Linked DNA regions of Stegostoma tigrinum. The protein of the gene in region 2 purifies or fractionates together with the protein of the main gene of each other region. This does not show direct contact. Links are inferred from orthologs where the notes say so. Each region holds a gene or a part of one and is shown on either strand. Other genes may lie near its edges.

Region 1 (7,626 bases), on a different chromosome or scaffold from region 2:
CAACAGCAATAGTGTACAATGTTATAACATGCACCATAGCCACTCACCAGGGCTTTTGCAACAAAACCTTGCACACTCATTATTTCCACTACCTAGAAACACAAGGGCAGCAATTCTATGAGAATACTACCACCAGCAAGTTAACTAAGAAAAAGAGGCAATAATAATTAGGACAGAGGTTAGGAGAATTTTTTTCACTTCAACAGAATACAGCATCTTTGAAATTCTTTACCTCAGAGGGATAGAGAGGTTTTGTCAAAGATGCACAACACAGAAAGAGGCTCCCCGGTCCAACTTGTCCATGCTGACCAGATATTCTATGTTAATCTAGTCCGATTTTCCAACATTTGGTACATATCCCTCCTATTCATATACCCATCCAGCTGCCTTTTAAGTGTTGTAATCGTACCAGCCTCTGGCAGCTCATTCCATACACTCACCACCTTCTGCATGAAAAAATTACCCCTCAGGCCCATTTTAAGTCTTTCTTCTCTCACCTTAAACCTATGCCCTCTAGTTTTGGACTCCTCTACCCTGGAGAAAAAACTGCAGCTACTCAACCTATCAATGCCCCTCATGATTTTATAAGCCCCGAAAAGGTCACCCCTCAACCTCCGACACTCTAGAGAAATAGCCCCAGTCTACTCAAGAACAAAAACAGAAATTGCTGGAATTGGTCAGCAGGTCTGGCAGCATCTGTGAAGAAAAATAAAAATCAGAGTTAACGTTTTGGGTCGTGTGACCCTCCCCTTCAACCTCTTCCTATATCTCAAACACTCCAACCCTGGCAACATTCTTATAAATCTTCTCTGCACACTTTCAAGTTCCACAATCTCTTTCCTTTAGCAGCGAGACCTGAATTGAACTCATCAACCCTATGAGGCTAAGACATTAAATATATTCTATGCTGAGACAGACAAATGCTTAATAAGGAAAGGAATCAAGGACCATGTGAAAAAGGCGTTGAGGATTATCGGATCACTTATGATTCTCATTTAATGTTGGAGAAGACTCAGTGAACTGAGAGGCCTACTTCCGTTCCTACATTTTATCATCCTAAATCAAAATTACTTTCTTTTTCAAGGACAATGTCAGCTATTGCCAACATGCAATTAAGGCAAGTTATCAAAACGGTCAGATTTGCAGAAGAAAGTATGACTGTCATGTTTGTTAAACAAACAAAAAAAATTACATTATTAGATCACAACAAATTATGTGTACAGCATGCCTGATTTGTACAGAAGGTGCCACAATTTAACACATTTAAAACCAATTCTATCGTGTGGATGCTAAACACATAGTAAATTAGGTATAAAGTATAACAATACATTTTACTCAAAATTACCTATATAATGTTACAAATACGAGATGTTATGAAATTACAAATGTATTACAGGTTGCTCAGTAACTGAAAATTAGTAGGGGGTGAAATGGGCTATCACTAGCAAATTCAGCATTTATTACACTTTTAGGGCTGTTCTGAGAAGATGGCCAGGCCACTTCAGAGGACAGCTGAGAGCCAGTCATATCAAATCAGGCATGGAAGTCAGATTTGCTCTAACTTGACAAGATTTCCTTTTCCAGTGGACACAATTAAACCAGTTGGGTTTGCACAAAAATCCAATATCTTTATGGTCACTATCAATACAAGCATTTCCTTTTAATATTTGCAGATTTCTCAAACAACCATAAGGACATTTCCGCAAGAGTTCTTGCCTCAAACCACTCCTGTGATAGATGATGCAAACTTTTACCATTTTCTGCATCCGGCATTTCCCTTTATCATTTCTCTGAATTCCATATTTGTAATTCACTGATGTGAAAACATGGGCAATTTAATTACATTTTCATACCTGCAAGAATAGGTATGTTTTGAATGGCCATTTGAATGAAAAGACCAGAATAAAAGCGAAGGAAGAGGTATCCTGAGGGATATGGAATGGTTTATGTCAAAATGAACAAAAAGCAAGACAACTCTCCCCACTCAAAATTTCACATGTACATCATCACTAGATATCAAGATGCATCAAATTATTTGGCAAAAAATCCAAAGACAACTGCAGTCTATAAATCAGCCAAATTTATTAGCTAAATTTGATCCACAAGAAGCCACAATTGTCACATGGTTACCAGCATCATCAGTTCTTCAAATACAAAATACGTCACTCCAATACAAATTGCCACTCTCGACTGATCTTTGAAGGCATCTAAATATCATTTGGGATTTAACAGTTTCTAGATTATCAGAAATTAGTAAATTTCACTTTACTAAACTTAAATATGAACATAATTTGAATAATGCTTCACAATCTTAGGAAGCCTTCCAGTAATGCCAAATTGGTGCAGTGCAACAAAATGCCAAACATAATCAAGCAACTAAGGGGGTTTGTGCTGATCTCTCAACTTTCAGCAATGACAAGCATTCTGCAGCAATGTATGTGCAATTAAAAAAAGGAGCCAACAGGCAGTTCAACTTTAACACTGCACTTAACTCTCCTCCTTGCAAAAACTATCTCACTCTCATACGTTCTTCTTCCAGGGCAAGTGGCAGCAACAAAAAAGGGAAATGTGAAGGCATCAGAAGAGGCCAGGGAAGAGAAGCAGATCTAATGGGGCTTGGGAGGAGTTGGATGCAGAGAGGGCATGGGGGACACATCAGAGCAGGCAGAGGCACAACAAGGGAGCTTGGAGGAAATCACAGAGGGGTATGCGTGGGTTCTCATCAGAGGGGGCCGAGGCACGAGGGAGCATGGAGGAATCAGACGGGGGGCATGGGGGAACTCATCAGATGGGCACGGGGGCGCTCATCAGAGGGGGAAAGCCACACCACGGTGAAAAGAGAGCAGAGGAGCAACAAGGGTGCAGGTGGAATCAGAGGAGGCACAGGGGACATCAAGCTGCAGTTACCCAGCTAACCGCTGGTATCCGAATTCAGGAGCAACAGCAGCTTCCCCCTCCTCTCGTCATTGATCGGGACTTACCCGGGTCGCCATTATGGCTGTCGGTTGGGCTGACCGAGCAAGGTTGCCGGTTGCCGGTTGCCGGTTGCTTCAAACGTGTCTGCCGAACACAACCACTCGCGCCGCCTTTCCCCTCCCCCACACCCACAACGCTGCTTTATAACATCCGGGCCATGCGTCAGCACGCTGCGCCACGACCTCAGCACGCAGGACGTTGCTAAGTTGGAATAAATCGTGTGGAATCGTAAACATGTTCATCCATGAACATCCTTCTGTCCAAGTTCACCCATCAACATCCACTGTCCATGTTCACCCATCAAAATCCATCTATCAATGATCACCCATCAACATCCATTTTTCAATGCTCACCATCAACATCCGCTGTTCATGTTCCTCTATCAACATCCAGTGTCCACGTGCACCCCTCAACATCCGCTGGCAATGTACATCAATCAACAGCTACCTGCCCATGTTCACCCATCAATATCTGCCATCCATGTTCATCCATCGACATCCATTTGCCCATGTTCACCCATCAACATCTATCTGTCAATGTTCACACATCAACATCCATCTGTCCATCGCCCACCCATTGACATCCACTTTCCAATGTTCATCATCAACACCCACTGTTCAAGTTCCTCCATCAACATCTACTGTCCATATTCACCCACCAACATCCAAATGTCAATGTTCAGCATCCACATCCACTGTTCATGTTCACCCATCAACATCCATTTTTCAATCATCACCATCAACATCTACTGTCCATGTTCATCCATTAACATCCAAATGTCAATGTTCACCCATTGACATCTACTGTCCATGTACACGCATCGATATCCATGTGTCAGTGCTCAACCATCAACAGGGGCAGCACAGTGACTCAGTGGTCAGCACTGAGCACCAAGGACCTGCGTTCAATTCCAGCCTCAGCTCAGGTTAGCATAGGTTTTCTCCGGGTGCTCTGGTTTGCTCCCACAGTCCAGAGATGCACAGGTTAGGTGGATTGGCCATGCTAAGTTATCTATTGTATCCAGGGATGTGTAGATTTGGTAGATTAGCCATGGGAAAATGCAGGGATTAGTTAAGGATCTGGGTGAGATGGTCTTTAGATGGGCTATGTGGACTCAATGAGCTGAATGGCCTGCTTCCACTCCCAAGGGAATCTATGATCAACATCCACTGCTCATGTTCACCTATCAACATCTGCCCATCAATATTCCTCTATCAGCACTGATACAATAACTTTAGTATTCACCCATCAATATACAGCCACCACTAGTTAGAATAAGGTATTACAGAAAGCATCTGAGATGGCATGATATCTGCATTGGTCCATGTTGAATTTTCTTGTACCATAATCCATTCTTCAGCTATTTCATATACAAGCAAGTTCTATAGTAACTTAAATAGTATGTCATCTGTGGGTGGTGGACAGATGTTTTCACCCCATTAATACCTTCTGAAGTTGAAGATTTTGGTTCCATTTGTGTGTCTGTTCACTCATTGTAAGCCAAGAACATCACTGCAGTCTGTGGCATTATCCCACCTGTCCGCAGGGATGTGCAGATTTTAATGGTGCCTCATTGGAGTCTCTGCTCCAGGCTGTCTGGGGCAGAAAGGAGGTGCTGCACTTCTCGGGAGGCTTGGAGATCAGGTCACAGATAGAACTCATGGAGGTTATCAAGAGAAAGATCGTCAAACAAAGGAGGGGAGTAGATGAAAGTAGTGTTGAAAGGAGAAAATGCACTCCAACTTTTTTAATGCCCACTTCTCTTTGAAAGATTCAAGGATACAAGTAGATACTGGGTGCAGACTCTCTGTAATAATACTCGGGAAGGATGAGAACTGAACAATAGAGCACAGTTCTTTGTTATTTACATTTTCCAACATTATAGTCTATTATGATACATCTTTGGAGTAAGTGGGACTTGAATTCAGGCCTCTTGATCCAGTAGTGGGGACATTACCACTGCACCACAAGAACTTCAAGAACTCAGCTCTTTTTTTTTAAATAACCACCACCAAGTCCCCCAATTAGCAAATTGAATAAATAATAAATTACAAGCACTGCCCACCAGGGACAGTGCAAAAATAAGAAATAAACCAAAATTTTGGGGAAACAAGGGAGAGGGCTAAATAAAAATAGTACTGGATAGAAAGATCGTATGCTTCAGCCCCGGCCATGCCCACCTTTCTCTAAAAGCTTCGAGGGTGCTGGCGGACATCGCATGCTTCCTCTCCAAGGACACCGGGACATGGGTCTAGCCCCAGAAGAGAGGCAGAATATAGGACGCAGCTTTTTCTTTCACAGACCAACCACCAAGCCTCCCATGTCACTAAGCAAATTATTGAATTATAAGTACTGCTCACTGGGGAAGTGCCACAAAAACAGTAAGGAAAGAGGAAGATGATCAATTAAAATGAACCTGGATGAGCTCAACACTTTTACTCTTTGTTTCATCAACCTGTTCAGAGATGGTATGACACAACTCGAGAGTAGATGAGACTTCAACCAGGCTGAGGTGAACCCAAGTCTTCTTTTAAATGTTGATCAGAGATACTATTACACACCTCTGAACACTGTTTTCCACCATCAAACCACCATGAACCCAGGTCTTGGTATTTCAATCAGGCTGTTCAGACGTTCCACAACACACCGATGGAGCAAGTGGGAGTTGAACCCAGACTTTCTAACCTAGAAGTAGGGACAATACCATGTGTAACAAGAACACAGATCTCTTTCTTTTGATTGATCTACCACCAAATCATCCATATTACTACAAAACCAATACAACAAACAATGAGCATAACCTGCTGTCAGTTGACTCAAGAGCTGTTCTGGTTTACCCTTAACATGACCTGAATTTCTAACAATTACCACCTCATTCTTCAAAACTGAAGTTAGTCCAGGCCTAGCCTATCCATCTTTGACTCTTACATTAGTCCCTCATTCTATGGATGAGGAAGGAGAACTTTCTCTCAGCTGATTCTATTTCTGAAGAAGAGTCTAGGCCCAAAACATCAGCTTTCCTGCTCCTCTGATGGTGCTTGGCCTGCTGTGTTCATCCAGCTCTACACCCTGTTATCTCTTACTCACTTATATCTTTTTTTCAAATCATAAAACCAAAGATGGACACATTATTGGAGATGATGTCTCACCAAAACTTTATATGATGTTGAGAACTTCTTTTTTGTTTGTGAATTGTCTCTTGTTCAAAGAACACTCTGGAAGTTTCAGTTCTGGAGATGCCTAACATTCAATTAGATGACACATGTTGTACTTGGGTGTCATCCAGAGCCAGCCATCCTAACAGAGAATCCAAAGTTCGAACTGGTTTTGAACTGTGTTTAAGTTGGAAGGATTGTGGTTGTGGCAGTTGCAGGCTGAAGGTTTCATTCTTTTGTTCCCTCATTGTCCTTCCATTATCAGTTTATTGCAAGTTTAGAGAATAGAATCTCACTTATAAGTGTTTTGTGAATATTTTTGGACTCTACTGGAAGCTATATCTTCAGAAACCAAGCAAGGTACAAATCCACGTGCCTGTGAAACTACAGATTGTGGAGATTGCTTCAGTGAACTGATCAGTTGCATCTCATTGTTTTGTTCTTTCTATTTATCCTTAACTGCATCTGTTTGTCTGTCTAACTTTGTGTGAGTTGGGGCTAGAATCAAAGAGGATTAGGTTTAAATCATAGGCTTCAATCAGGTTATCTTGTTTAGTTTTGCTCTGTCAAAGCAACTGTATTATTAATAAATTATTAATTTTTTGTTTAAGCTCCAAACCTGTTGTATCATATTGGATATTTTTAAAAAATCTGATACTGGTTATTCAAAATGCCTCGTTAGGAATGATTGGGGTCAATTCTGAGGGTCATTAAATACTTTAATTTTACTGTGTTATGAATGAAGGGATTGAGAAGCTGATTTGATCTGGTGGTCTTTGGGCCATAACAACGTTGGTGGGAAAATATCTGTATTTCATATTTTTTTTGCCATGAATACTAACATTCTATTTGCCTTCTAAATAATTTGTTGTACCTGCATGCTAATGTTCAGTGATTCATGTACCAGCACAGCTAGACTTTCTGTACCTCACAATTCTGCAATCTTTCTCCTTTTAAATTGTACTATTGTTTCATCCTCCCTGTGAAAATGGACAAGTTCACATTTTCCAACATTATAATCTATGTGCCAATTACTTGTCCATTCACTTAACCTATTTAAATCTCTTTGTAGATTCTCTACCTCCACTTGACAGGTTAAGTTCCTATATATGGAGGCAAACCAGGAAATGTAGTTAATGCGCTTTTAGCTCCTGTATTTATTTCATTAAAATAGATTGCAAGTAGTTGATTCCCAATAGTGATCCCTGTGGCACCCTACTAGTTACAGTCTGAGAAGCTGAAGAAGTTTTCCTCTGCTTCCTGTTTATTAACCAGTCCCTTAACTTATGCTAATACAATACCCCTTACACCAGTGTTCCTGTTTGGTATCACAACATTTTGATGTGTAGTAATTTCCTTGAAATAAATATTGTGAAGAATGAAGCCATTGTTTTTGAACTTCACCAGAAGCTGAATTTCAACATTACCACTAAGCTATGAAGGTGCATGGGTCACACAGCAATACAGAGCATATTGCACAGGAAACAAACTGCCG
Region 2 (7,727 bases):
AGACGCAATTTCCACACAGATTAAGAATCATGGAATATATACAGCACAGAAGCCTGTCTGTGCCAGCTCTCTGGATGAACAACTCAACTAGCCCCTTCAGATAATTATGCAATTCACTTTTGAAAGGCTATTATACATGGGCACAGCATTCCAAATCCTAACCATTCGCCAACTTTAGGTACATTTAAGTCGTCACTGGATGAGCAAATGGACGTACATGGAATAGTGTAGGTTAGATGGGCTTCAGATCGGTATAACAGGTCGGCACAACATCGGGGGCCGAAGGGCCTGTACTGTGCTGTAATGTTCTATGTTCTATGTGCAGAATAAAAAGGATTTCCCAATGTAATCCTTGCTTCTTTTGCCAATCCCCATAAAACAGTGTCCCTTAGTTCTCGATCTTTCCACCACCTTTTCCCTTACCTACAAACCCCTCGTGATTTTGCATCAATCAACTCAATCTTTCCTCCAAGAATAGCCCCAGCTTCTACAACCTATCTAGCTACAGTTCTTTATCCTAGCAAGTAATAAAACCATATAAAAACAGAGCAGAATACAATTTATTTGTACCGTGGAAGCCTTGTTTAAAATTATACAGGATTAACTGAAGAACTGAACTCAGTAAGTTCATACCACACAGGATGGACATCACGAGATGTCAAAAGCCTGACAGCATTAGGGATATTTGCAATGCAACCATGCCAGTTCTATTTTTTAATTGGTTCATGAGATGTGGATTTTCTGGCTAGGCCAGCAATTATTGCCCATATTTAATTATCCTCGAGAAGGTGATAGATCTAAGAGCATTGATGGAACAGCAATATATTCTCAGTAAGGATGGTGAATGACTTAGAGAGAAACTGGTCGGTGGTGGTGTTCCTATGCATCTAGTGCCTTTACCTTTCTAAATGACGGCAGGGGTAGATTTGGAAGGTGCTGCCTAAGGTGCTCTCACCTTAAACATGTGCCTTCTAGTTTTGGACTCCCCCACCCCCAGGGAAAAGACTTTGTCTATTTGTCCTATCCACGCCCCTCATGATTTTATAAACCTCTATAAGCCTCCAACGCTCCAAGGAAAATTGCCTTAACCTATTCAGCCTTTCCCTATAGCTCAAGCCTCAAACCCTAGCAGCATCCTTGTAAATCTTTTCTGAATCCAATCAAGTTTCACATCATCTTCCCTATAGCAGGAACCCTAGAATTGCATGCAATGTTTCAGAAGTGGCCTAACCAATGTCCCGTAAATGACCTCTCAATTCCTGTACTCAATGCACTGACCAATAAAGGCAAGCACATCAAACGTCTTTTTCACCACCCTGTCTACCTACGACTCCGCTTTAAATGAACGGTGATTCTGCACTCCAAGGTCTCTTTAATTCAGCAACACTCCTTAGGACCATACCATTAAGTGTAACGAGTCCTGCCCTGATTTTCCCTATCAAAATGGAGCACCTCACACTTACCTAAACTGAACTCCATCGAGCACTCTTGGCCCATTGGTCAATCTGATCCAGATCCCACTGTACTTTGACGTAACCCTCTTCGCTATCCACTACACTCCAATTTTGGTGTCAACTGCAAACTTCCTAACCATACCTCCTCTGTTCTTTCCAAATCATTTTGACAAATGACAAAAAACAGTAGGTCCAGCACAGGTCCTTGTGGCATACCATTGTCTCCAATCTGAAAAGCAACTCTCTACTACCACCCTCTGTCTTCTACCTTTGAGCCAGTTGTGTACCTAAATGGCTAGTTCTCCCTCTATTCCATGTGATCTTACCTTACTAACCAATCCACCATGAGGAACCTTGTGAAACACCTTATTGAAGTTCATATAGATACACATAGAGTGATACATTTGTGAGTAGCAAAGCAGGCTACTGTGTGAAGCTTCTTAACCATTGTTAATTCTGTGCATCCAGGCCAGTCTATCATACTTGGGCCTTATTGATGGTGGACAGGTTTTGGGGAGTCATGAGGTGAATTACTTACTGCAGGACTTCTAGCCTGCTGTTGTAGGCATGCAGTACTTGAAAAACAAACATTGTGGATGCTGGAAATTTGAGACAGTGTGTCAGAGACAAATCAGCAGGTCTGACAGAAACTCTGCTTCATGATATCCGACTACTTAATTCACACTGCCATTTCACTTCCAGGCATGCCCATCCTGGAAAAAGTTCCACTCTACTCTTCAATGGGATTATCATTTTAATTTTTCAGAAAAAATGAGAAGTCACACCAATCGCAAAACAAAAATTTGCTGCTCCCTCCACACAAGCTGCCGGGCCTGCTGAGTTTGTGCAGCATTCTCGACGTTTGCACGGATAGTCCAGTGCACTTTTTAGTCAATCGTATCCACCCCGCACCCAAAATATGCTGGTATGGAGGATTCAGACATGGTAACGCCAGCGAGTGTCATGGGACAATACGTCCAAGAGGCGACTGCAAGGTATAGGAATCTGGACAGGTATTAGTTTTCTGGGAAGAGAACAAGCGAATTTGGCTTCATTTGCACTGATCTTATTGAAGGGGAAAAACCAGGAAACGTACGCTTCACAAAGAACCCTGGGAATCATAGTGCACCATCAGATGTTAACAGTAACTGCCAAAGGTTAAGGAACTACAGCTCCCAGAATGCCTCTGTCGGAGTCAGGTGAGCCGACGGTCGCGAGCTGTTTCAGTTAAAACGAAGCGTTAGAAACCATTGGCATTAGCTCTGCCAACGCACCTAAAACAAAAGTGACTGCCTCAAAAAAATGGGAAGGAGAAAAAAAAATCAACTTCAGCCGTTGGCTTGTTTACCATTTCTCAGCTGCGGCTATATGTTCCAACGCCTCGTTAATTTTCTGAGCCATCCGCCTCTCTCTGTCTCTCTCACTACAACCTCACACTTTTGTCAAGGACAGCGAAACGGACCACGAATACTTCACTCCGTACGGTCAGATTTTTTTTTTGCTCCCTCGATGAATGGCCGGAGTAAAAACGCAATCTGTTGGCCTGAAGCAAACAGATTTTCTCTCAAGCGGTGGCCTCTGTTCCAAGCCGCTCAAGGAGCGAGGACGGCCATCGCGGTAACGCGCAGGCGCGTTCACGCAGCGTCGTTGCAGTTACGCGGCAGCATCCCCGCAGAATTAGGCCATTTGGCCCATGAAGTCTGCTGCGCTAGTAGATCGTGGTTGATATGTTTCTTAGCCCCATTCTCCTGCCTTCTCGCTGATCTCCTTGCCACTTCGGCTCTGAAGGGTCATTGGAGCTGAAACCTTAACTCTGATTTATCTTCATGATGCTACCAGACCAGCTGAGATTTTCCAGCATTTTCTGTTTTTGTTTCTGATTGCCGGCATTCACAGTTCTTTTGGTTTGTTGTTTACACCAATCTATCTCTGCCTTAAATACACTTCCTGACTTGGCCTCCACAGCCTTCTGCGGCAATAAGTTTCACAGATTCACCACCCTCTGGCTGAAGAAGTTCCTCTTCATCTAAGTTCTAAAGGGTCGTTCATACCTTAACTCTGAAGCTGTGCCGTCAGGTCTTAGACACTCCGGCTAGTGGAGACATCTTCTCCATGTCCACGTTATCCATGTCTTTTGGCATTCTGTATATATATAGTGCAATGACCTCATCTATCTGCTAATTACAGGAGTTGGGCTGTGCTGGCTGGATGGCTGGTTTATAATGCAGAATGACTCCAACAGACCAGGTTCCTGCACCAGCTGAGGTTAACACCTTTCAATCTCAACCTTTGCCTGAGGTGTGGTGACCTGAAGTTAAAGCGCCATCTAAATGAAAGACTGGTCCTCTGGAACTATGGCTATATTACTTACTATGTCATTTGCGTAGTGCAGTTAGGAAGTATTGGCTGAACATTACAGCACAAAAGACTGGTAGTTCACGATTCGTTTATAGCTTGCGTATTGCTTGAAAGAAAGGTATTGTCAAAGCTTTTTGCCATGCAGTCTTCAGGACAGATACAAGAATGCCAAATTTCAAAGGGAATAACAATTTATACTGCATAAGAAAAAGATACTGATTGGTCACAATATTACCTTTTTAAAATTTAAACAAAAGTTTAGAGGATCAATGAATGTTCTATAGTGCATTCTCTCCACTCAGAGCCATGAAGCCAATGTAGCAATGCAATCAAGGTATAGTCATATGAAGGGAAAAGGTAGGACAAACTAATCCAGAGAGACAAAACTGATATAAGAGTAAATAAGAAGACAAAGACTTACGATAGATGACAGGTGAATAATATGATGGAGAACCACACAGAATATAGAAGGTTCAGAGAGAAGGAATTAAGTAAATATATAAAATGGAACCCAAAAGTCTTTCAATTAAAAAATCTGCAATATGAAACTAGTCTAACTAGTAATTTTTTAAAATGCAATCACAGAATGAGAGCATTGCTGACTAGGCCAGCATTAATTGCCTATCCCTAATTTGCCCAGAGGTCAGCCAAGAATTACCACATTGTTATGAGATACATGTGGGCCAAACCATGTAAGGATGGCAGTTTCCTTTCCTGAAGGAAATTAGTGAACTAGATGGCTTTATTCCAACAAACACCAATGGATTCAGGGTCATCATTATACGCTTAATTCCAGATTTACATCAAATTAACGATCCACCGTCTACCATGGTGGGGTTCAAACCCAGGTCCCCAGAACACTAGCTAGCTCTCTGGATTAACAGTCCAGTGATAATACCATTTGGCCATCACCTCCGCCACACAGTGATCAGGAAACGATCATTAATTTTTGGAAGAATCCATTTCATTCACTAACTTTCTTTAGAGAAGGAACCATTTTTACTCAGCCTAGCCTACATGTGACTCTAGATCCACAGCAAAGTGGTTGACTGTCTTCCTTCTGTATAGGCCTAGCATGCTGCATTCAATGGCAATTAAGAATAGACAACAAATGTTGGCCTGGCTGGTATTGCCCAAATCCAATGAAATTATACATTTTTGAAAATGGGATTTATGCATAGAAGAGTGTGTGGTTGAGGTAATAGAAGATAACTATGCATCTCCATTACCAATGACAATAAAGGTGCCCATGTCGTGGTGAAAGAACAGGTAGTCCTTACACTTGAAGGCTTTAAGGAGGAGACTGATAAGAAGGTATTGGAATCGAATTCTGTACTTAAAAGTTGATAAAGCACCAGGATAGAATGACAAACATCCAAGAGTACTAAAGGAAGTGAGAGTGGAAATTTCAGAGGCATTGGACGTAACTTTCTGATTTTTTTTTACTCAAGTATGGTCACAAAGGTCAGTACAGGATTGAGGGTGTTCTAGTTAAATGTGTGCAGTATAAGAAACACTATAAATGAGCCTGTAGCACATATTGAAATTGGTGAGTATGATGTTTCGGGCATCACAGAGATGTGGCTCCAAGCGATCCAGTGCAGGGAAATGAATACCCGAGGAGATAGGCATCCTATCGCAAAGCCAAGCAGATGGTCAGAGAGGATAGAGCTTATTAAATTGATAGCAAGAAATGATATAGGGTTGGAAAGCATTGAATCTGTGTGGTTAGAGTTGAGCAACTGCAAAGGAAGGAAGATCCTGTTGGGAGTTATGTAGCTGAGCAATGGTCAGGTTATGGGTCAGAAAATGAATCAAGAGATAGTGTCTTTTTTACATACCTTTTCTATGAATAAAATCATGGGGAACTTCAATATGCAGGTGGACTAGAAAAATTATGTTGGTAGCAGAACTCAAGGAATCTGTGGGATGTCTACAAGTGTTTTTTTGGAGCAGTTTGATTTAGAGTCCATTAGGGAACAATCAGTTCTGAATTTGGTGATGTGTAATGAGGCAGACTTAATTAGAGAGCTTAAGGTGAAGGATTGCCTGGGACGTATTGACCACAATATGACAGAATTCACCCTGCAGTTTGAGAGCGACAAGTTGGAAACAGATGTCACAGTGTTACAAGATAATAAAATGTGAGGCTGGATGAACACAGCAGGCCCAGCAGCATCTCAGGAGCACAAAAGCTGACGTTTCGGGCCTAGACCCTTCATCAGAGAGGGGGATGGGGTGAGGGTTCTGGAATAAATAAGGAGAGAGGGGGAGGCGGACCAAAGATGGAGAGAAAAGAAGATAGGTGGAGAGGAGAGTATAGGTGGGGAGGTAGGGAGGGGATAGGTCAGTCCAGGGAAGACGGACAGGTCAAGGAGGTGGGATGACGTTAGTAGGTAGGAGATGGAGGTGGGGCTTGGGGTGGGAGGAAGGGATGGGTGAGAGGAAGAACAGGTTAGGGAGGCAGAGACAGGTTGGAGTGGTTTTGGGATGCAGTGGGTGGAGGGGAAGAGCTGGGCTGGTTGTGTGGTGCAGTGGGGGAGGGGACGAACTGGGCTGGTTTTGTGATGCGGAGGGGGAAGGGGAGATTTTGAAGCTGGTGAAGTCCACATTGATACCATTGGGCTGCAGGGTTCCCAAGCGGAATATGAGTTGCTGTTCCTGCAACCTTCGGGTGGCATCATTGTGGCACTGCAGGAGGCCCATGATGGACATGTCATCTAAAGAATGGGAGGGGGAGTGGAAATGGTTTGCGACTGGGAGGTGCTGTTGTTTATTGCGAACCGAGCGGAGGTGTTCTGCAAAGCGATCCCCAAGCCTCCGCTTGGTGTCCCCAATGTAGAGGAAGCCACACCAGGTACAGTGAATGCAGTATACCACATTGGCAGATGTGCAGGTGAAACTCTGCTTAATATGGAAAGTCATCTTGGGGCCTGGGATAGGGGTGAGGGAGGAGGTGTCGGGGCAAGTGTAGCATTTTGTGCGGTTGCAGGGGAAGATGCCAGGTGTGGTGGGGTTGGAGGGCAGTGTGGAGCGAACAAGGGAGTCACGGAGAGAGTGGTCTCTCTGGAAAGCAGACAAGGGTGGGGATGGAAAAATGTCTTGGGTGGTGGGGTCGGATTGTAGATGGTGGAAGTGTTGGAGGATGATGCGTTGTATCCGGAGGTTGGTGGGGTGGTGTGTGAGAACAAGGGGGATCCTCTTTGGGCGATTGTGGCGGGGGCGGGGTGTGAGGGATGTGTTGCGGGAAATACGGGAGACGCGGTCAAGGGCGTTCTCGACCACCATGGGGGGAAGGTTGCGGTCCTTGAAGAACTTGGACATCTGGGATGTGCGGGAGTGGAATGCCTCATCGTGGGAGCAGATGCGGCGGGGGCGGAGGAATTGGGAATAGGGGATGGAATTTTTGCAGGAGGGTGGGTGGGAGGAGGTGTTTTCTAGGTAGCTGTGGGAGTCGGTGGGCTTGAAATGGACATCAGTTATAAGCTGGTTGCCTGAGATGGAGACTGAGAGGTCCAGGAAGGTGAGGGATATGCTGGAGATGGGTGCAGGAACAGCAACTCATATTCCGCTTGGGAACCCTGCAGCCCAATGGTATCAATGTGGACTACACCAGGTTCAAAATCTCCCCTTCCCCCTCCGCATCCCAAAACCAGCCCAGTTCGTCACCTCCCCCCACTGCACCACACAACCAGCCCAGCTCTTCCCCTCCACCCACTGCATCCCAAAACCAGTCCAACCTGTCTCTGCCTCCCTAACCCGTTCTTCCTCTCACCCATCCCTTCCTCCCTCCCCAAGCCACACCTCCATCTCCTACCTACTAACCTCATCCCACCTCCTTGACCTGTCCATCTTCCCTGGACTGACCTATCCCCTCCCTACCTCCCCCTATACTCTCCGCTCCACCTATCTTCT

Evidence for each region.
Region 1: the proteins of napgb (region 2) and vesicle-fusing ATPase purify together in Homo sapiens (affinity purification with mass spectrometry; 3 studies listed by BioGRID and IntAct, with this or other methods). This does not show direct contact. The link is inferred for Stegostoma tigrinum from reciprocal best matches to the Homo sapiens genes NAPG and NSF.

The regions. Positions count from the first base shown.
Region 1 is NC_081384.1:33,756,117-33,763,742, reverse strand, and holds the start of vesicle-fusing ATPase, read right to left. Parts: upstream 3,103-7,626; 5' UTR 2,994-3,102; coding exon 2,982-2,993; intron 1-2,981.
Region 2 is NC_081358.1:115,585,114-115,592,840, reverse strand, and holds the start of napgb (N-ethylmaleimide-sensitive factor attachment protein, gamma b), read right to left. Parts: upstream 3,096-7,727; 5' UTR 2,856-3,095; coding exon 2,803-2,855; intron 1-2,802. UniProt on the Homo sapiens protein: Required for vesicular transport between the endoplasmic reticulum and the Golgi apparatus.